Neodiprion lecontei: one gene and its partners. The protein of the gene in region 1 interacts with the protein of each later gene in a pairwise test. Links are inferred from orthologs where the notes say so. Each region holds a gene or a part of one and is shown in the gene's direction. Other genes may lie near its edges.

What was found.
Region 2: the proteins of casein kinase I (region 1) and proliferating cell nuclear antigen interact in a two-hybrid assay, tested with the Caenorhabditis elegans proteins (3 studies listed by BioGRID). The link is inferred for Neodiprion lecontei from reciprocal best matches to the Caenorhabditis elegans genes kin-20 and pcn-1.
Region 3: the proteins of casein kinase I (region 1) and spermatogenesis-associated protein 20 interact in a two-hybrid assay, tested with the Caenorhabditis elegans proteins (2 studies listed by BioGRID). The link is inferred for Neodiprion lecontei from reciprocal best matches to the Caenorhabditis elegans genes kin-20 and B0495.5.

The regions. Positions count from the first base shown.
Region 1 is NC_060261.1:42,945,049-42,949,929, reverse strand, and holds the start of casein kinase I, read left to right. Parts: upstream 1-1,869; 5' UTR 1,870-2,265; coding exon 2,266-2,341; intron 2,342-2,583; coding exon 2,584-2,694; intron 2,695-3,334; coding exon 3,335-3,483; intron 3,484-4,687; coding exon 4,688-4,881. UniProt on the Caenorhabditis elegans protein: Essential serine/threonine-protein kinase that regulates diverse cellular growth and survival processes including Wnt signaling, DNA repair and circadian rhythms. Casein kinases are operationally defined by their preferential utilization of acidic proteins.
Region 2 is NC_060260.1:30,416,522-30,424,094, forward strand, and holds proliferating cell nuclear antigen, read left to right. Parts: upstream 1-1,802; 5' UTR 1,803-3,946; coding exon 3,947-4,167; intron 4,168-4,595; coding exon 4,596-4,761; intron 4,762-5,179; coding exon 5,180-5,324; intron 5,325-6,224; coding exon 6,225-6,475; 3' UTR 6,476-7,016; downstream 7,017-7,573. UniProt on the Caenorhabditis elegans protein: This protein is an auxiliary protein of DNA polymerase delta and is involved in the control of eukaryotic DNA replication by increasing the polymerase's processibility during elongation of the leading strand.
Region 3 is NC_060263.1:2,183,722-2,191,450, forward strand, and holds spermatogenesis-associated protein 20, read left to right. Parts: upstream 1-1,985; 5' UTR 1,986-2,269; coding exon 2,270-2,403; intron 2,404-2,501; coding exon 2,502-2,874; intron 2,875-2,972; coding exon 2,973-3,116; intron 3,117-3,211; coding exon 3,212-3,301; intron 3,302-3,368; coding exon 3,369-3,611; intron 3,612-3,704; coding exon 3,705-3,884; intron 3,885-3,965; coding exon 3,966-4,175; intron 4,176-4,262; coding exon 4,263-4,455; intron 4,456-4,520; coding exon 4,521-4,689; intron 4,690-4,765; coding exon 4,766-4,974; intron 4,975-5,038; coding exon 5,039-5,238; intron 5,239-5,338; coding exon 5,339-5,599; 3' UTR 5,600-5,606; exon of another isoform or gene 5,607-6,360; intron 6,361-6,440; 3' UTR 6,441-7,198; downstream 7,199-7,729. Other genes in the region: SUMO-conjugating enzyme UBC9-B, read right to left, coding at 251-317, 404-666, 742-825, 1,268-1,333.

The DNA.
Region 1 (4,881 bases):
AATATATTTTTTATCGATGTTGTTTAATCTTTAAGTTTTCACCCTAGTTCATGAAAGTAAATTTTTTTGATTGGCATATGAATACTTTTTCTTTTTTTTGTAGCCCTAGGTATATAGACACATTATATATAGTAAAGATTATATGTTTACATGCCAATACTACTTTCAGTTTGTCAATGTTGAAATTAACCATCTTCTGAATTTGTGTTCATACTATGTAGAAAACTAGAGTTTTGACTTTATTGTTATCCAGTTAAGTGAGCAAGAAATTGTTGTTATTATAATTTTTAATAAGAATCCAATTTATCGTTATACTAATGTTTTGGTATAATTATATTCTATATTTGGTGGAGGACACAGCATATTAACTTTTAACTTTTTATTTCGAATGTTATATCTAATGGATGCTCACTGAATCATACCTAAAACTAATTCTCCGTTTTTTATTCATTCAACTGTTATTCTCAATTTTTACGGCACACAAGATATTCTGGGCAAATGAAATTTCATCAATTATCGATTTCAATAGGCCGTGTCCGGTATCGCTTATACTTTGAATAACATAATTCTCTAGTAGACCAAGATCGTACATTTGAGATAAAAGTATAGCGCTCATTCTACAAGAGGCAAAATTAAAAGTAATTATTTATATAAAAAAAAAAATGAATATCCCCCCTGCTTTATAAGAATACAGATAAGTATGTTGCCAATTATTTGTGCGTCTGATTGACAAACTTTCTACCCCTCTGTTTTTAAGTTTGATGGAAAGTAATTCTGTTTATAAGTACCATTTTTTGATAATACGAAGAATTTACGTGGGGCCTTTGTAGATAGATTTTAATTATGTATCTAATTATCTTTAACTGTATACTTAATAATTAAGCAACTGATTCATAATTACTGTTATCGTACATACTGCAATTAGTGGTAAAAGAGAAGGAATAATTCTGTATTACTAATTTTAATAGGAATTTCATAACTATTCAAAAAGTGTTACTTGACAGTTTATTCGCAATTTAAAATATATAGCATATAGCAGTTTCGCTTAATTATGTAAGCCAGTGATTGTTAATCGTAGTTAGGAATATACATTTAAATTTTCTAACTAAACCCGAGTTTCGGAAATTAACTTTCAAATCGCATTTTTGACTACAATTCATCATTCGATGTCACAAAATTCAGTCAGTTCTACTCAGGCTGATTCAAAGCTTGCGTGAGCAAAGAAATTAACATGACACTGCCTAAAGGCTAAGTTCTCATTCACGTTTCAGTATGAGGATCAAAAAACAATAACTGTACAATTTTCCATTATAACTACTCCCAAATTAGTTCACTGCAGTGAAAATTAACAAATTTTTCATTGAATTTTTCTACAGCTTAGGTATCTCTTACTGTCTACAACATCACTTATATTTCTATAACAATAAATGCCTTTTCAAAAAAATTCCAGTGTATATCAATTTAATATACATCTTCATGGATCCTAAAAGAGAGAGTTGGGGCGAATTTAAAAAAAAAACCTTTATGAGTAGCGAATTTAAGGATTTCAATCGAAGTAATTGTGGTGATGCAAAATTGAATCGCATTGGATGGTTATGTTTTGCTCGCTAATTTACATTAATGTTGTACGACAACTATGTGTTAGGGTGAGTGGAAATTTTGTCAGCGTTCTGGTAAAGTTAACAAAAAAAGAAAGTAAGATAGTGAAAATGTATGGGGAAATTAATGTAACGAAGTGCGCATATTTTGATTTGCATTTTGCGGCATATGCAGCTGCACCGCATCACGCATACTAGATGCGAACCTATGCGGCAATTCACCGTACTAGGCGAGGGAAGTGGAAGAGAGCGAGAGCCCGATCCATGTAGCTGTTGCGTATCTTGGTGTTGACGGTTGAGTCGTGTCTGTGGCAGGTCCGTGTGTCACCGTTAGCGGATGCGTTGAGACAGGCCATGAAAAATCCATTTAATCCGCGCTTCACGTCAAGAATTACGATTTTCTGACGCGCGTATCGTATTCCTGAGATCCCGATACTTTATTTGCGTGCTCAATTGATGTGCAATAGTGACGACTGATGCCCGCAAGGCGGGGCGAGAATTCCTCTTTGTGTCGAAGAAGTAGTCCCCCGTCCAGGCAGGCTAACAGCGAAAAGATGCCCCGTCCACAAATATCAAACATGGAGGCTCCGACAATGTAACGAAAATTCCTTTAAACCGCGTTGTGTTTCGTGAGTTTTGAGTAGTCGTTACCTCGGTCAAAACAAAAATGGAGCTACGCGTAGGGAACAAGTATAGGCTCGGGCGGAAAATCGGGAGCGGTTCCTTCGGTGATATTTATCTAGGTAACTATGAACAAAACAATTTCACAATTGTACCACGGATCGTCGTACCGATATTCTATGCACAAACAAAATATATTCATTCCCAGCCAAACTGGGCATCAATGTTAAGCTTAGGGTATCTTCAACTTGAGAGTTGAACTTTGCATCTTTTACCGCTCATTTTTACACAGAGTTTAATTATTCGCCAAAGTGGCATACGTTTATTCGCTTTGATTTTCACCAAATCGTCCTTCTTTTAACAGGGACGAACATTTCCACGGGTGAGGAAGTCGCCATAAAGCTAGAATGCATAAAAACAAGGCATCCCCAGCTCCATATAGAGTCGAAATTTTACAAAATGATGCAAGGTGGTGGTGAGTATGGATTTATCAACCCAATTGTTCATTCTTCGACAGGTTAACAAGCATTTTTTCTTGAGCAAAAAAATCCTTAGACTGTCAAAGTGCTTTGTTTGTTTGCTTCACCACAGCTGGTCCTCCAGGCGCTGCCCCTTCTCCTCGATACAATGCCACAAATATATTTCCTGCATTTTCATGCACATTTTATTTATAGAATCTAACCAAAGGAATCCATTTTTCATTCAAAACAATTATTTGTATCTTCTATTCGATTTGGTTTAGAATTCATTTCAAATCGTCATTGTATCGCTTTCATCATCAATCTTCAACGAAAGAGGGTAGCGAGAAGAAAAATGAAACAAATTACCATCCACAATTCTAGAATTTATATTTAGCTTAACTAACACCAAACTCGAATGTGAAATACCTTACCTAATTACCTCATAACTTTCACTGGAAATTGGTTACCTAAGGTTTATGAATTGTTTTTTACTCTGATTATTTTTACAGTTATTGTTTTATTAAACTAGAGTTTTAACTTGATCTGACTTTTCAACCGTGTTGCATTTTTATTTCCACACTGGTTTCTTCTGTCATTTCGTATTGTCAAAATTTTTTCAGTACTGCGCGATGTACAAGTATTTTTTACTTTCAGTTGGAATCCCCACAATAAAATGGTGCGGTTCGGAAGGTGACTATAATGTTATGGTGATGGAACTACTCGGCCCATCACTTGAAGATCTTTTCAATTTTTGCTCTCGAAAATTTTCGTTAAAAACTGTTCTACTACTCGCTGATCAATTGGTGAGTCTAAAAAAATAATTATCCTTTTCTAACGACATTGAAAATTTAGCTTAGTCTATCGAACGAGAAACGTTCCTCGTCCTGTTGAAATAGCAAAAACAAATTCAGAAGCAATTTTCGTTACTATTCTAAACCAATTTTCTCAATGTTCGCCTTTAATACGATATCATGTCTACCATGCAACTCGCTATCTCGGAACACCTGAATTGAAACATGCTTTCACTGACATTAGACTTCACTTAGTGATACGCTCTACTTACCTGGCGCTCTAACTGGGTCATTGTGAGACTGGCTAATGTTACAAATAATTGTAAACTCTATGCTTTTGTCATCCTGTATCAAAAGTTTGACTTTTTCAAGCATGTTGTACAATGAGTCCTAAGTTGGCTGAGGAGTTCGTTGAGTCTTTCATCAAACAGCCAACTGTGTCGCTTGTACAATGTTACTATCTCTGGATATCCATTGCTTTTTCATCGGCAATTCAGCGGGCTTTGCAACGACTGTTCAAAGTCCAAGTGTAAATGATGTGTAGAAATTAACTGTGTTTATAAATCATGCATTCATATCTTTTTTAATGCAAAGGCTGTTGAACTTTAAACATAAACTCTGAAACTACATTTTCACTTATTCCATGATGAGCCTAGGGGAATATTTCAGAATATCAAATTTGCGAAAGGTCCATTGTGTCAGAAATAAAGTTTGATCTAATATCTTCATTGATCAAGTGCAATGGTAAATGATTGAAAGCATTTTGCATGCAATATGATTTACATAAGATGATTTTTAAGGCTGGGTCAGAATACTAAGCAGGAAATCATGGTTCACTGAGTTTTATGATACCGAACAGTACTTCAAATAATTAACTAAGGCAGCGACCCTAAAAGCATGTGTTATAGACCATGTCTGCATATACATTTAATATTATTACTCAACAAGCGTTTTGAGTTAGTATAAATATGTACAAATATAATTATCTTTTCTTACTGTGAGTCTCAGTTGTCATTGTAAATCCCTTGCAGACAATTAATTATTCACTTGACCTTTTTATCTTATATGATGATTCGATCCTTTGATGATCTCCGGAATGTGTTGCAGAGACCAAAGATTTTCTTACCTTTTTAGGGCAATATATAGTATATTTTAATTGCGCAATCCAATGGTTGTATCCTTTCAGTGATCCACACTGTTTTCTTTTTGAATATAGATAAGCAGAACGGATTACATTCATAGTCGAAATTTCATCCACCGGGATATCAAACCTGACAATTTTCTCATGGGCTTGGGAAAGAAAGGAAATCTTGTATATATCATAGATTTCGGTCTGGCCAAAAAGTATCGAGATGGTCGGACGCACATGCACATACCTTATCGAGAAAATAAAAACCTCACAGGAACTGC
Region 2 (7,573 bases), on another chromosome or scaffold:
CGATTCAAAAAGTTTAGAATGTTTTTGATACATCAATAGAATGAATATTAAAGCGAATATTATGTTGGACTCGACCCATTTTTGGTCAGTGGATGAACTTATGTGATTGTGCTAACCACACCTTCGTCTGTTTCAGCTAACGAAATCTTTGTTTGTTTCAGGTAATCAGACTTTCTGTCCTCTTCAGCTAATCAAACTTTTTGTCTGTTTCAGGTAATTGAATCTTTTGTCTGTTTCAGATAATCAAACCTTTTATCTGTTTCAAATAATCAAACCTTCTGTCTGTTTCAGATAATCATTCAGCTAATCAAATTTTCTGTCTCTTTCAGCCGATCAAGCTTTTTATCCGTTTTAGCCAATCAAATTTTTTGTTTGTTTCAGCTAACCAAACTTTTTGTCTATTTCAGCTAATCAAACGTTTTGTCTATTTCAGGTAATCAGACTTTGTCTCTTTCAGCCAATCGAACTTTTTGTCTAATTCACAAGTTAATTAAACCTTTTGCTTGTTTCAGCTAATCGAATCTTTTGTATGTTTCAGCTAATTAAACTTTCTGTCTCTTTCAGCTAATCAAACGTTTTATCTGTTTCAGCTAATCAAACCTCTTGCCTGTTTCAGCTAATCAAACCTTTTGTCTGTTTCAGATAATTATACTTTCTGTCTCTTTCGGCTAATTAAGCTTTTTGTCCGTTTCAGTTAATCAAACCTTTTGCTTGTTTCAGCTAATCGAACCTTTTGTATGTTTCAGCTAATTAAACTTTCTGTCTCTTTCAGCTAATCAAACGTTTTATCTGTTTCAGCTAAACAAACCTCTTGCCTGTTTCAGCTAATGAAACCTTTTGTCTGTTTCAGATAATCATACTTTCTGTCTCTTTCGGCTAATTAAGCTTTTTGTCCGTTTCAGTTAATCAAACCTTTTGTCTGTTTCAGCTAATCAAATATTTTGACTGTTTTAACTAATCAATTTGTCTCTTATTCGTTAATTATATTTTTCACTTATCTAAGCTAAGTATATTTCTGTTTATATCGAAATATGTCACTAATTTTATTTTCATCTGTTCCACGTAAGTGAGGTTAATTGACTGTTTAGGTCTGGTTCAAGGTCAGTCATCTTTTCACCGATACATAGATTTAGCGATGTATATAGTTTATTTTTTAATGGTTTTACAGTCTTTTATTGCGCTCGTTTTAGTGTCATAGTTTTTTTTCTCGAGTCGCCCATAGGTCATGTTCGGTTTGTATTTCACTGTATAATTATATAGCACTGTCGTATTTTGGTGGTTGTGTTTATCCTACTCCGATTTGTTTCCATTTCTTCAAAGATTTCTGCTTAGTCTTCCGATAGGTAAATGCCAGCGTCTTACGGCGATTCGTATTTTCGATCTTGGTTTAGTTGTGAATTGTTTTGCGTATTCACCAAGTTCTCCATTTTAGTGATTATCTTATACATCATAAGAAAAAAAACCGTGCCCGAACATCCAAATACAATCACCGTTCGCTTACAAGATAAAAACTATCACCCTTCATCTATAATTAAAACAGCCAACTTTCATCTACAATTAAAACAGTCATCTTCGATCGATAATAAATAGTCAGCTGGTCATATTAACTGAAAAATTTCGAACAAACTCCGAATATCCGCGAATACAAATTGATTGGGAAAAACAATTTACCGTAGTTAACATGTGAAAAAAAGATATTTGCAATTTTTCGAAGAATGTAAGATCGATCTTGCAAGTATTCTCCGTGGAGTAGGCCTACTGGGGATACCACGTAAAAAAAAAACGCGCCGGGTGCTCTACCGCTTGCGGTGGTGTGGAAACGAGCATAAGCGAACTTATTTTCATTTGTCAAATACTAACATATTGTAGTTTTTCAAATGACAATTTTATTCTTGTATAAATTTAGCTTATTGTCAATAAGATTCGTGCTTCGGTTATGTGTAACGCATGTGGAATTGTAATACCTTCGGATTTCGCTAGTTTAGTGAGAGTGAATTCCACGTAAATATATTTTTCTTTTTGATAAATTTCGTTTCTTAATTAAAGTCAACAAAGTGCACATACCTTTGGCAATTCCGACATCTTTCTCCCCGGCTTGACCTTTCGCAGTCGACACAGGTTGTTGACATAAAACACTATAATTGCATACCAAATGAGCACGTCTCCCATAACAAACGATAAAGAACAAAATATTGAAGCTCATTCAAAACCGGTCACTAAAAATGACAACAAGAACGATGTTCAAATTTTGTACGTTCGAGATACGGGTGATCCGTCTAGCACAGTAAGAAATTTACTCCCGTCTTCTCTTTTGAATCTATATTCTTGAAAATTATTTAAAAATTTTGATGACAAATTTGTATACCCGCTTGATTTTTATATAACTTAACTGAATCAACTGTTAAATACTTTGTTCAAAAAATCATTACACTTACATACATAAAAAGAAAGGCAACTAATATGATAACCTGCATTTTAAAATATTACCAATTGATTTTAGAACCAATCAAAAGTCACAAAAGAAATGCTTTGTCAAATTATAGATATAAATTTATGACCTTCGACAAGAATGAAGTGATCCGTTAAGAACGCAAATCACAGATCAGTTGAATTAAAAAATATGACTATTTGAGTGGGAAAAATTTTCAACGGGTGATTATTGTTACTTACAACATAATTGTGAATAAAATAGTGTGTACAAAAGGTCGTACTAAGTAAGATAATACGTAATACGCGTATGCTATAAATATTCATCTTATAAATTGCAAATACGCCGTGAAAGTTGCGAAGGCCGGACTTCCATCCAGAAGATGCATTCGTAAAACGCAAAAAAAAAAAAAAATGATGCGTCAATAACTAAACGTTTTACGCATACGTTGGCTGCCTCGTCACCAATTCCAACGACCAGTACACGCATTGTTGAATAGCGATCTTCGCAGGAAGAGTATCGCTTGGAATTTAATGGACCTATGTATATTTCTCCAAAACGGACAATCAGCCCACCACCGGAAACCAATGCTGTTCCAATAACTCATCAACGATGCATATTTCTTGGATAATTATGAAGCAATTACATGAATTACTGACAAGTTCCTTGTAATTTTAACATGTATAATGTAAATCATTAACGGTCTAACAATGTCTCTTATACAATTTGTAAAATTCTTCTACCTAAGTCTGCAAAATTTATAAATTCTGTTTGCGGAAATCTGTAGAAATTCTTCGGTAGAACAGAATCTTGTCTCAGAAAAGACTAGTGGATTGTTGGAAGCAGAATACTTAAAACTTTCGGAAGGTCTTACAACCTTTAATCTGTATTTTTTTAACAAAGATATCGTAGATAATTGATGAGAATTTGATTATAAAGAATCCAGAAAATCCATCTTTAGGTAATATCAGTATTTAGCTTCTGATATCCGATATATAGTATCATTACACAATTGTATCCTCTGGGTAATATTATTATTAGGGGTTACCGAAAAAGTGCTGAAATTCCGAATAAAACAGTATTGACTTTGTCGGGAACACATATTCTCAAACTCGAAGTTCCTAACAATCAACACGGACACTGCCATAAATGTATAATAAAGTGGACAGGTATGAGTAATTATAATCTTAGCCACTCGATAATAAATTTCTGAACAATCTTGTGTTGGGGGGGTCAGCGTACAGAGCCGCAAACGCTTTCAGCTTTTGGATTTGTTCAACTGAATTCGTATAATGGCGCGCTTGTAGATAAAGAAGACTGGTAAGGGCCTCTACATCCTCTCGAGAGATTTCGGCGCCAACAAAACGCGGGTAAAATCTTGCTCCCCAGTCCCGGTGTTTAATGTCTGTCTTGCCGGCTTGTTGTGGGTTGTAACTTTACTGTAGACTGTGTTGCGGGTCTTTTCACCAAGTACATTCGTTTTTAATAGTTTCAAAGTTGATCGAAGAGGAGCTAAAAATGTTCGAGGCACGTTTGGTTCAGAGTGCGATATTGAAGAAGGTTTTGGAGGCGATAAAGGACCTCCTAACCGAAGCCACCTTCGACTGTTCCGATTCGGGAATTCAGTTGCAGGCTATGGACAATGCTCACGTTTCTTTGGTGTCTTTGAATCTGCGAAGCGATGGCTTCGACAAATATAGATGCGACAGAAATTTATCGATGGGCATGAATCTGGGCAAGTAAGTTGCTTCATCAAACTGGTCGCCCGTTCTTTTGAGAGGTTATACACACAGTGCCGATACTAAAATTTTAAACGCGGCTGCTTTGTTCTCAGCCTTGAAAAGAGTAATCTGCAATTCTTAGCAATTACATCGTATATTAACAAGAAAAATGACAACACTGGCAATATAATATCGTTTGTGCGTCACTTGCTTGTATTTTTTGGGTAACAGTAATGATGATAACTCATGAGTGAATGCAAATTTCGTTCACACCTTATTTGCCCTTTGTCTTGAATCGTCATCTTATTAATACTTGATAGCTGATCAACGTGAATATCAGTTTTGTTACTAAACATTATGAATCACTGTTTTACAACATGTCGTCCCTGTTACATATCGAGTCGTACTAATTCAATGATTTGAACCCAAAATATTATAATTTTCAGCATGACAAAAATTATGAAATGTGCTGGAGCAGAAGATACTGTTACGATGAAAGCTCAGGATAATGCTGATGTGGTTGCATTTATGTTTGAATCCAAAAATCAGGAAAAAGTTTCAGATTATGAAATGAAACTTATGAATCTAGATCAGGAACATCTTGGTATTCCAGTAAGTTCCTGTTCTTGAAGTAGTAATAACTGATTAGGAATACGAATTCTGCAATATTTTTGTTGGAAAGATTCATTCATGTTTTATCAATTCAGCGAAAGAAGACCCAAACTTCTCAATGCAAAACTATTTGGTCCATTTTTGACATATTTGATTCAAGCAACGAAACAAATGTTTGTGTCCAAACCGTTTTGAGTTTTTTGAAATTCATGTGTAACATAAACAGTTGAATTCTGAAACTGTAAAATGCTCGGTACATTAATAAATACAATGTGAGCTATCTCAATTATAAGAAAACCTATTTTGCACAGAATTAGGGAAAGACTATAATCCTTGATCCTTGAGTATTGTTATTAGTGATAATGTGTAGGTGAAGATAGGTGCAGAGTGTATCAACAATCATATTTTTTTTCTTCAGGAAACTGACTATTCTTGTATCGTTAAAATGCCTTCCCAAGAATTTGCACGTATATGCAGAGATCTGAGCCAGTTTGGTGAATCCATGGCTATTTCTTGTACCAAGGAAGGTGTGAAGTTTAGTTCAGCTGGTGATATTGGTTCAGGTATACAAATGAACTATCATTACACTGTAAATTTAGATAAATACATTCATGATAATAATACCTCAATTAAATGATAAAAAAAATTTGTGCAACATCTAAGAACTTAAATTTTGTCGATCATATTTGACAAAGCACAAGATTTACCATGCTTTATTTTTCAACTATCTATTGACCTTTGTTGCTTCCTTTCACTACCAGGGAGATTAATCGCCGACATATTTAACACTTTGCCATCCGGCGACAGCACAGTGGTGACGTGCGCAAACTGGTGGCCAACGACCGGCGACACCACAGTGGTGTTGTGAGCACAGTACCGCTCTGGGTCGGTGACGACACTTTAGTGTATTTAGCTTTCTGCTGGTATTTTGTTTCGGTAACAATAAGTTACACAAGTGATCAAACTTTTTATTTGTATAAGTTCTTGTGCCCTTTCATAATGGCAGACGAAAGAGACGATGCAAATATTTACGACGAATGCGCGGACGATTTGTCTGACGTTCCGGATGACTTGGCCGATTGGGAAGACATTGAAAATGAGAACTAACGACGAAATTAGTAAAACTTAACAATTTATAATCTCCCGATAATGTCAAGAACGGCCGGTGACAAGTCAAGTGATCCGAATAAGCGCTGCCGGCGCCAGGCGAATAAATATTTACGAATCGTGCGGACGGCAAAGTGTTAATATAGTGACATCTCTACAATTTTGAAATCGTCAGTTTATTATCAGTTGAATTCAGCCAAACGATTTTGCTCTTATGTTGTATTGTTAATGAATCAAAATCTCAATGTCAATGCACATAAGTCAGGTTATCACAAGCATGTAGCTATGATAGTATGAATGTAATAGTCGAGGCAGTGGTTTCTCTACTTCTAGTGGTATTTGTTTTATTATTTCAGCCAACATCAAATTAGCTCAAACTGCAAATGTGGACGCTGAAGAGGAAGCTGTGGTCATAGAAATGCAGGAGCCAGTATCATTAACGTTTGCTTGCCGGTATTTGAACAGTTTTACAAAAGCAACACCCCTTTCTGCTCAAGTTCAACTTTCAATGTCTGCCGATGTCCCGCTGGTTGTTGAATACAAAATTGGGGAACTTGGACACATCAGATATTATTTGGCACCTAAAATCGAAGACGAAGACAACTAAGGACAGGATCTGGTATTCGTGTTGTTATACCGCTCATTTTTGTTACTGTACAAAACTGGAACACTGCAAAACATGGTGTGTTCTGAGATGAACCCTATCATTGTGCCTTGATGTTGGAGAAATGATCCATGTGAGCAGTCGAAGAATTAGTCACTGGATATTTTAATAAATTCCTTATTTTTCATCGTCATAGAGCGATTTCCAACTTTTATACATTCTGTAACTAATATCTATAACCAATACTAGATGACAATATGAAGTACTTCTCAACGAAATGAGTTAATCAAGCTGACTGATATTTCGAAGGTAATTTATTAGCAAAATGTACAGTTAAAATTATTTGGCTGGCCACAATGTTAATGTGATGAGGAGTTGGCTCTAAAATCTGCAATAGAATAGCGTGATCACATGGATTAATTTAACGTTGAGTTACTTTGCAATGTACATTGAACAGCTTCTGTCATAAGCCGTGCTTGTTTCGAAAGTATTGCGTTTGTAGCATAAGAGGAGAACCAAATATATTTCCGAAATTTTTGATACATTTTGTGACTCTTAATTCCATAACCTAGCCTAATTGAAGTTTAAAATTTAATTAATATATTTCTTAATTCGTAAATCTATCCAAGCTACGGTAATATAAAAATACATAATTAGCTTACGAATTGCCTAGAAGTATATAATTAAATCTTAAGTCATTTGGATCTTGAATTAGTATTTAGTAGTTAAATATCGATCATTAGAAGGTAAATAATGGCTAGAAATATTATACACTCAATTACTCAGGTCAAGATGTTTATAAGATAATAGTTCACTCATTATTTCTCGTACATTCATTAATTATTATTACTATTATTATTATTATTTTTATTATTACCCTTTACTTCAGTAAATTCTTTTACAATAATTTTTGCAAAAATCGAAATAGCAACAAAATGTAATACTTTGGCAATATTTGTCAGCCTCTTTGGTTAAAAAGCCCTGGTATTGCTTTGTCGTCTACTATTTTGCAACTACATGTTAATATTTTTTTTTTTTTCCGATTTTAGTTTTGCTTTTTTGTAGTGGATTTTTACTTTAACTATATTTATATATCCATCT
Region 3 (7,729 bases), on another chromosome or scaffold:
CAGAAGATAATCTCACTGATATCGAGCACTCGTTGATAATAAACAATTTCATTGATAATTATACATAGAAGAAAATAAAATGATGATTCTGTTTTTACTTACCTATGTATATGTATGCAACATTTATGGTCATGTAAATTGTAAGTGGGGGAAAAATTATTTGTATATAGTTTGCATTATGTTATATTATATTTGTTGCAGGCTTAGAAAATAAAGTTTTGCTTTGTGGTAGGTGGAACGTTCGTGTTTTTTATTCTTGCGGTGCCATTGCTCTTGCCTGCGCCTTCACTCGTTTTTCATATTCCAAACGATTCTGGCTGCAATAATTGAGTTTCAATAAGTGATGTTGTCGCTGTAGACTTGGAAAAAAAAAAACTCAATCTATGCCTCGTTGAGTACTCACCAGTAAATAGTGTAAGCTTCTGCTTGGGCGGGATCTTTAACGTTTGGTTCATTAAGTAAATCTTGGATTCCTAGCAAGATTTGCTTGATTGTTATGGCTGGTCGCCAGTCCTTTTCTTCATCTAGGAGAGATAGGCATACAGTACCAGAAGGGTAAACATTAGGATGAAAAAGTGGGGGCTCGAATTTGCATTTTGGCGGACTGGAAGGATAGTCGTCTTTGAATATCATTCGCAACTTGTACAGCCCGCCTTCCCATGGAGTCTACAAAGAAAATTACCATCAGATTTTAATAAATTCAAGGCAGATTTTTAGGAGCAACGACTTGCAATATCTTACAGTTTTCTTTCCAGGTATAGCACATTCCCAGCTCATCAAATTAAGTGTTCCATCTGGATTTTTTGTAGGCCGAGCTACAAAGCCCTGTAAGTAAACAAATGAAATTCAAAATCTGGCCGCCTCTGGGTGTTTGTAACAAATTTTGAGCATGTCACATACAGCCTCGGATCTCAGCACAAGTAATTCAATAAATGAAGATACCCAAAAGGAATAAGAAATAGGTTAGGTTTGGTTATCTGGTTTCAGAAGAAAAATTTTCCCATTCAAAAACAAAAAAAATTTAGACCACTTGAGGTAAAAACGATGAGATTGACCTGTGCACTTTTTACATGTGTGTGCGTGCGTATGTGGACGACAATCTTTCATGACATGATTTATGTATTCGGAGGGTTTATTATGCCCTTACGGCCAGGTAATAATGGGAGGGATGGTTGACTAGGTAAAATGGTTAACTTGGGACCATCCAAATGACCCGGTTTCATCCAAAAGTACAATGCAGTAATAGAAGTGACAAGATAATACTTACAAATGGATGGTCTTTCCTCCATGCTTTTCTCTCCTCAGCGAGTCTAGCGATCGCGATGCCTGACATTAAATCTGCAAAATTAGTCCAAGCTTAGCAAGGCTCTCCGTGAGCTTAATCGCCGCGGCACGTGGTTATTTGGTTGTAATGTTAGCACTTTGGTACACACACCGTAGGTTCGAATGCCTTGGCACTTCCTAAGCCCGAAATCCGAATTTCGCAACGACTCTTTACGCTTTTTAGCGGCAATGACAAATACGATGAACCATGGAGAACGCAGTGTGTTCCGATTTTTAATGTGCAGTGTGCACTTTTCTACTGTGCTCAAAGCGTTTTCAATTGGCTGCACTGAGTGCGTTTTCCCTAGATTTACGCCTTTGCCATTAGTTGAAAATTAGGGAAATTGCATGCGCACCCAGTGCAGCCAATTAAAAACGGATATGCATTTATTTCCCACATTTTCAAAATGAAGGAGCTGAAAGGCTTGAGCTTATCTGATTAATCCGTATTGAAGAACCAGCTGATCGACAGCTTTGCCCAAGCCTTTCTTTTCGAAAAGTTGGGAAACAAAAAATTGCACCATTATCAAATTATCCCTAGGAATCCTGAGTGATAACGTCGATCCTTCGACCGGATGTAAGCTACTTTGTATGAGGAGTATTTAACACCACGTTGCGGTTCTCAGCTGGTTACATAGCCACGGGGAAAAGGTAGGTCAAACGTCAAAAACTATCATCAAAACTGTCAGACCAAATGCAAAATAGTGTATGTGATAAATATTTATACGCACTAACATGCGAACGAATTGGTATAGGCTTTGGTATAGGTATACGTGCCGTATATAATCATGTGTAAATAAAATTGCGCATACACGCAACACGTATACCTATGAACGTTATTATCTTTTTCTCACTTTGCGATAAGGTTAATTTGAAACTCGTTATATAATTATTCAAGTGAAAATTACTCAATAATTATTATTTATAATATTATATTTTAACACATATGTATGTTATGATTCCGCGAAGATGTTCAATATGGACATCAATTCGTCGCTTTTCTTCTGAACATCAATTCAAAAAATTCTCCGCCAAGGACATTAAACTGCTTCAGGTAGTCAACAACTATCATAGCAAAAGGTTCGTATATCCATGGAGAGAAAATTCGTAAACATGATAAAGCCAACAATTGGTTTTAAATAGTCTGATAATGATATTTGTTTTTCATTCATTTACAGATATATTCATAGTGAACGGTTATTCATTCCTTACAGTGTAAGAATGACCTCGACGACGGTGAAAGGTGAACCTTCTGAAAGTAAAACCCAAAATAAATTGGCATTTGAGAAGTCTCCTTACCTTTTGCAACATGCAACAAATCCTGTTCATTGGTTTCCTTGGGGTGACGAGGCAATTGAAAAGGCTCGGCGTGAAGACAAGCTTATATTTCTGTCAGTTGGATATTCCACCTGTCATTGGTGCCATGTCATGGAGCGGGAATCCTTTGAAAATCCTGAAATCGCGCGTGTTATGAATCAGTTTTTCGTCAATGTGAAAGTTGATCGCGAGGAGAGACCTGACATTGACAAAATATATATGACTTTTATTCAAGTAAATATACACATGTTCATTTAAGATGTCATTCTATAAGTTATGTTAACGAAAATATCTAAGAGAAATAACTCATTTCCTGCATTAAATTGTTTCAGGCTATTTCTGGACATGGTGGATGGCCAATGAGCGTATTTTTGACCCCCGAATTGACCCCTGTTACAGGAGGAACCTATTTTCCCCCTGTCGACAAGTATGGTCAACCTGGTTTTAAAACTGTATTGACCACCGTTGCACACAAAGTACATATTCAACGTGATATTTATCTGCCAAGTATTCCATTTTTTCACCAATTTATTCCTATTATATCTCAAGTGTTGATATTTGTTGTTTACAGTGGATTGAGAGCAGGAGTGATGTATTAAATTCTGGCAACAGAATCCTTGAAGTATTGAAGCGATCCGTTGGTGTGGAAAGTCTACATAAAGTATGTTTGCTCTACGGTAGAGCAGCTTGGAAATTTTTGCTGAGTCAAGTTTATTTTCTATAAACAGGAAGCAGCTGAGCCATCAGTTGATTGTGGATTAAATTGCGTGCAGCAATTGGCAGGCAGCTATGATAACGAATTTGGCGGATTTACAGACGCCCCAAAATTTCCCCAGCCAGTTAATTTGAACTTTCTATTTCACGCCTACTCCAGGGATCCGTCAAGCGAATCTGGCAAGGAATGCTTGAATATGTGTTTAACTACTCTTACCAAAATGGCTAATGGAGGGATTCATGATCACATTGGTCAGGTACAGCCACCCGAAGCTATTCCTATCTTACAATTTATTGTGTATTAATAAAATAGCATTTTTTTTTTTAATATTGAGAATAATAATCTTTAGGGGTTCTCACGATACTCTGTAGATGGTAAATGGCATGTACCACATTTTGAGAAAATGTTATATGATCAAGCTCAGCTTCTACGGTCCTATGCAGATGCTTTTGTTATAACAAAAGATACTATATTTGCTGATATTGTCGACGACATTGTCACATATGTTACCCGAGATCTGCGTCACCAGGTCAGTAGCTACTGAACAGAATAAAAATAGAGCGGTACTATTTTCTTTCCTTTTTTCAACCATATGATACATTTCTTCCAGGCAGGTGGATTCTATAATGCAGAGGATGCAGATTCGTTACCTTCTCACGATTCTCGGGAAAAAAAAGAAGGTGCATTTTACGTGTGGACTTACGGAGATATAAAAAGTCTCCTTGGCAAACCCATTCCCGGAAAAAAAGACTTGGAATTATCGGATCTATTTGCTTTTCACTACAATGTTAAGCCTGAGGGGAATGTTGGTCATTTGCAAGTTCGTAAAATCAATTTTTGAACTTGCTACCATCACATCAGCTTCCTATTATTGTACAAGGACTCGAAGAGTGAATCATTTTTCTAGGATCCTCACGGAGAGCTGAAGGGACAGAATGTACTGATAGTCTACGGCAGTTTGGCCGAGACTGCCGAGCATTTTGATTTAAGCTTCGAAGATGTGAATAAATATTTGCAAAAGGCTCGTGAAATACTGTACCAAGTTAGATTGAAGAGGCCCAGGCCTCATCTGGACGACAAGATAGTTACATCATGGAATGGTAAATATTGAAGAGTATCCAAATACCTACGTTATAAAAAAATATTTAAAAAAATATACACACAGGATTAATAATCAGCGGATTGTCAAGAGCTGGTTTTGCATTCAACAACAAGAATTACATAGAGTTTGCTGTGAAGGCGGCTGCCTTCGTTGAACGTTACTTATTTGACGCGGAGAAAGGCTTGTTATTACGTAGCTGTTACAATGGGGGAGGAGGTACAATTACTCAAACGTGAGTCAGTCTGTCAAAAGTTGTTTTAGCGATAGAGAAAACACTGACTATTACCTGATGAAATATAAATATTTAGGAGTGTACCGATAAATGGATTTCACGGTGATTACTCTTTCATGGTCCAAGGGTTGCTCGATTTATACGAAGCAACGCTGGACACGCACTGGCTTGAATTTGCTGAAAAATTGCAGGATATACAGGACAATTTGTTCTGGGATCCTGTAGCTGGCGGTTATTTTGCTACAACCGAGGAAGATCGCACAGCAATTCTAAGGCTTAAAGATGGTTAGATCAAGATTACATGGTAATTGGTGACTAGATGCTAGTGTATAATATTACATTCTTACAGATCACGACGGAGCCGAACCGTCAAGTAATTCTATAGCGTGCAAAAATTTGTTACGATTGAACGCCTACCTCGATCATGCGGAGTTCAACGATAAATCTTCCAAAATACTAATTGCATCCAGAGAATCTCTTACGCGTGTTCCCGCTGCTCTACCGGAACTCGTGTCTGCCCTGCTACATTACCACGATTCAATGACGCAGGTGAGTACATAACGTTCGAATCATAAGATGTTGGCAAAGCCCTTGGTAACTGAACGAACGCAAATGACAAGTTTCATACCCGACTCTCTGCTTCTTCAAGATCTACGTGGTTGGTAAAAAGGACGCTGCAGATACGACACTGCTACTAAATGTTATTCGTGAGAAATTTGTTCCCGGACGGGTACTACTCTTAGTTGATCACCAAGATCCGGAGAATATTTTATTTTGCAAAAGCAAAGTTATCCTCAACATGAAGTCTCTCAACAATAGAGCAACGGTCTACGTATGTCATCGTCACGTTTGTTCGCTACCAGTTACAGAACCGGATCAGCTTGCCAGGCTTCTTGACGCAAAACCATAGATCAACAGTAAGTTATTACCTAAAATTTATGCATATGTATAAATGAAAAATGTTGTTACTGTTGTGAATATACATTTATGTATTCATATGGTACGTAAAAGTATTTTGAAAAGTATTTAGTTTTTTTCTTACTTTCGCTTTCAGAACTAAAAATACTTCATCACGAAACTCAATTACGTAATTTACGTCTAAGCCTAACCACAGGGATTAACAGATTTAAATAATAACATTGAGACTGTTCAATAGCTGACGGTTCAATTGATAATCACATTTTAATATCTTGTTAAATTCTTAGCTGATTTACAGTTCAATACTAATGCGATATCAAATATTGGTAATCAAGTAACCAACTGCAATCAGGTTTTAGAAATTTTTTTAATTATTTGTTGCATCCTTGTGTGATATTTCGTAATTCTTTTTTTGGAAAATTTGTTAGTTAAAATATAAAGGCTCGAGTGAGTTTTGTAATTTGCAACTTTTTCACGAGATTCACTGATCGAACAAATTGTTATTCCGAACTTGAACGTTTAATGGATCCCTGCACGTCTAATGTGTTTTATTTCGAACTTTTTTTTTTTTTTTTTTCTATCGTCGAGTCTGCAGCCACATTAATCCGCCGATGCTAATCAAAGTTTACTATAAATAAGCGTTACATTTAGAAGACCAGAAATGTATGTATATAATTCAGACGCAAGAATAACTTATTTCTGCGTATATCATGTATACCTGCGTCGAAATAAAGAATTTGATATTATAAGGTTTATACAGTTCAAATATTTACGTGTATTACAATGCTTGGCAAATGTTCGCTACGTTTTGATTCCTTATTTTCTATTTCCAGATCCGCAGGGAATTGGTAATTGATTAGGAAATTATTTGTTAGTTGAGGGAATTTGAGGATTACATTGCATGCTCGGTAGTTTTGCACGTGCGAAAATTTAAAGCAGCTAAGGTTCGAGCGTTTAAAGACTTGAACTTCGTGTATACATATGCGTATAACGTTTCCGATTAGAACATGGTCAAGACGTGGTGGTTTATACGGTTCTAAAATTAGGGTGCTTCAACGGGCGCCGTTGCGATGCGCTACAATTTTGTTTATATGACTGCCTCTAGGAAAATATTTTGGGCTTCGTATCATCTTATGGATTGCTGCTGGCCGATGCCGCTGCCGATCCTCGCAATAACATTACGTCTAACGGAAGAAAATGCTTTGGAGAATTTTCCGAATTTACGTGGGAACGATGAAAAGTTGGAATTTTACGTGACGGACGACGATTCCGGTACAGGATATGAATAGCATTCTTCGAGTCGCGGAATGCAACGTCCGTCGCTCCGAGAAGTCGTTTCAGATCAGAGTGTAGGAAAGAAATTTTTCTCCAAAAGCCAAGACCCTGAGATTTAACGTAACTTGAGCTTAATGTGAAATATTATTATCAAAGCGCGTGATAAAAATTCTCAATCCAAACGATCGGATTAACTCTATAAAAGAAATACCACCGCGACTTAATTTCTAGCGTGACGTAATGCAGAAACTGTTCTTAGACACGTTTTATTGCGGAATAAATTATTTTCACATCAACAATACGGTGTGTAAACTGGGACTTATTGTAAAAAGCTTGGCTTTTCGACCGTGAAACACGTTTTTATGTATATCCAGGTATTTTAGCGTTCTATTAATACGCTTGAACAACAAAGTTGAGGAAGAAACCACCCCTGTGATATCACAGCAGGCAAAAAACATTCCATAGTTTCCCCTTCTCCCCTTCCCCCTCCCCCGCAACCCTCTTTAGTTCATCTATAATCAACCGTGTATATGTTTTTTGGTAAACCTATAGTAAAAATCGATCGCTTACTCTCCTGCTTCGTGTAATCAGCAAAATGCATTATAAAAGCTCGCCCTGGTGAAAATTTCTACCGCTACTACGAATTTTTACAGAAATTGGGCGATTTCGTATTATTTAGTAAAAAAATTATAAATATGTGTAGTTTTTCTCAAAGAATTGTTAATTATGTAGATTTTTTAACGAAAAAATACAAATTTTCGTGAAAATCTACAAGTTTTTATGATAAATTTACAGTATATTTACAATTTTTTGTACACAATCGTACGAAATGTTGCAATTTCCGTGA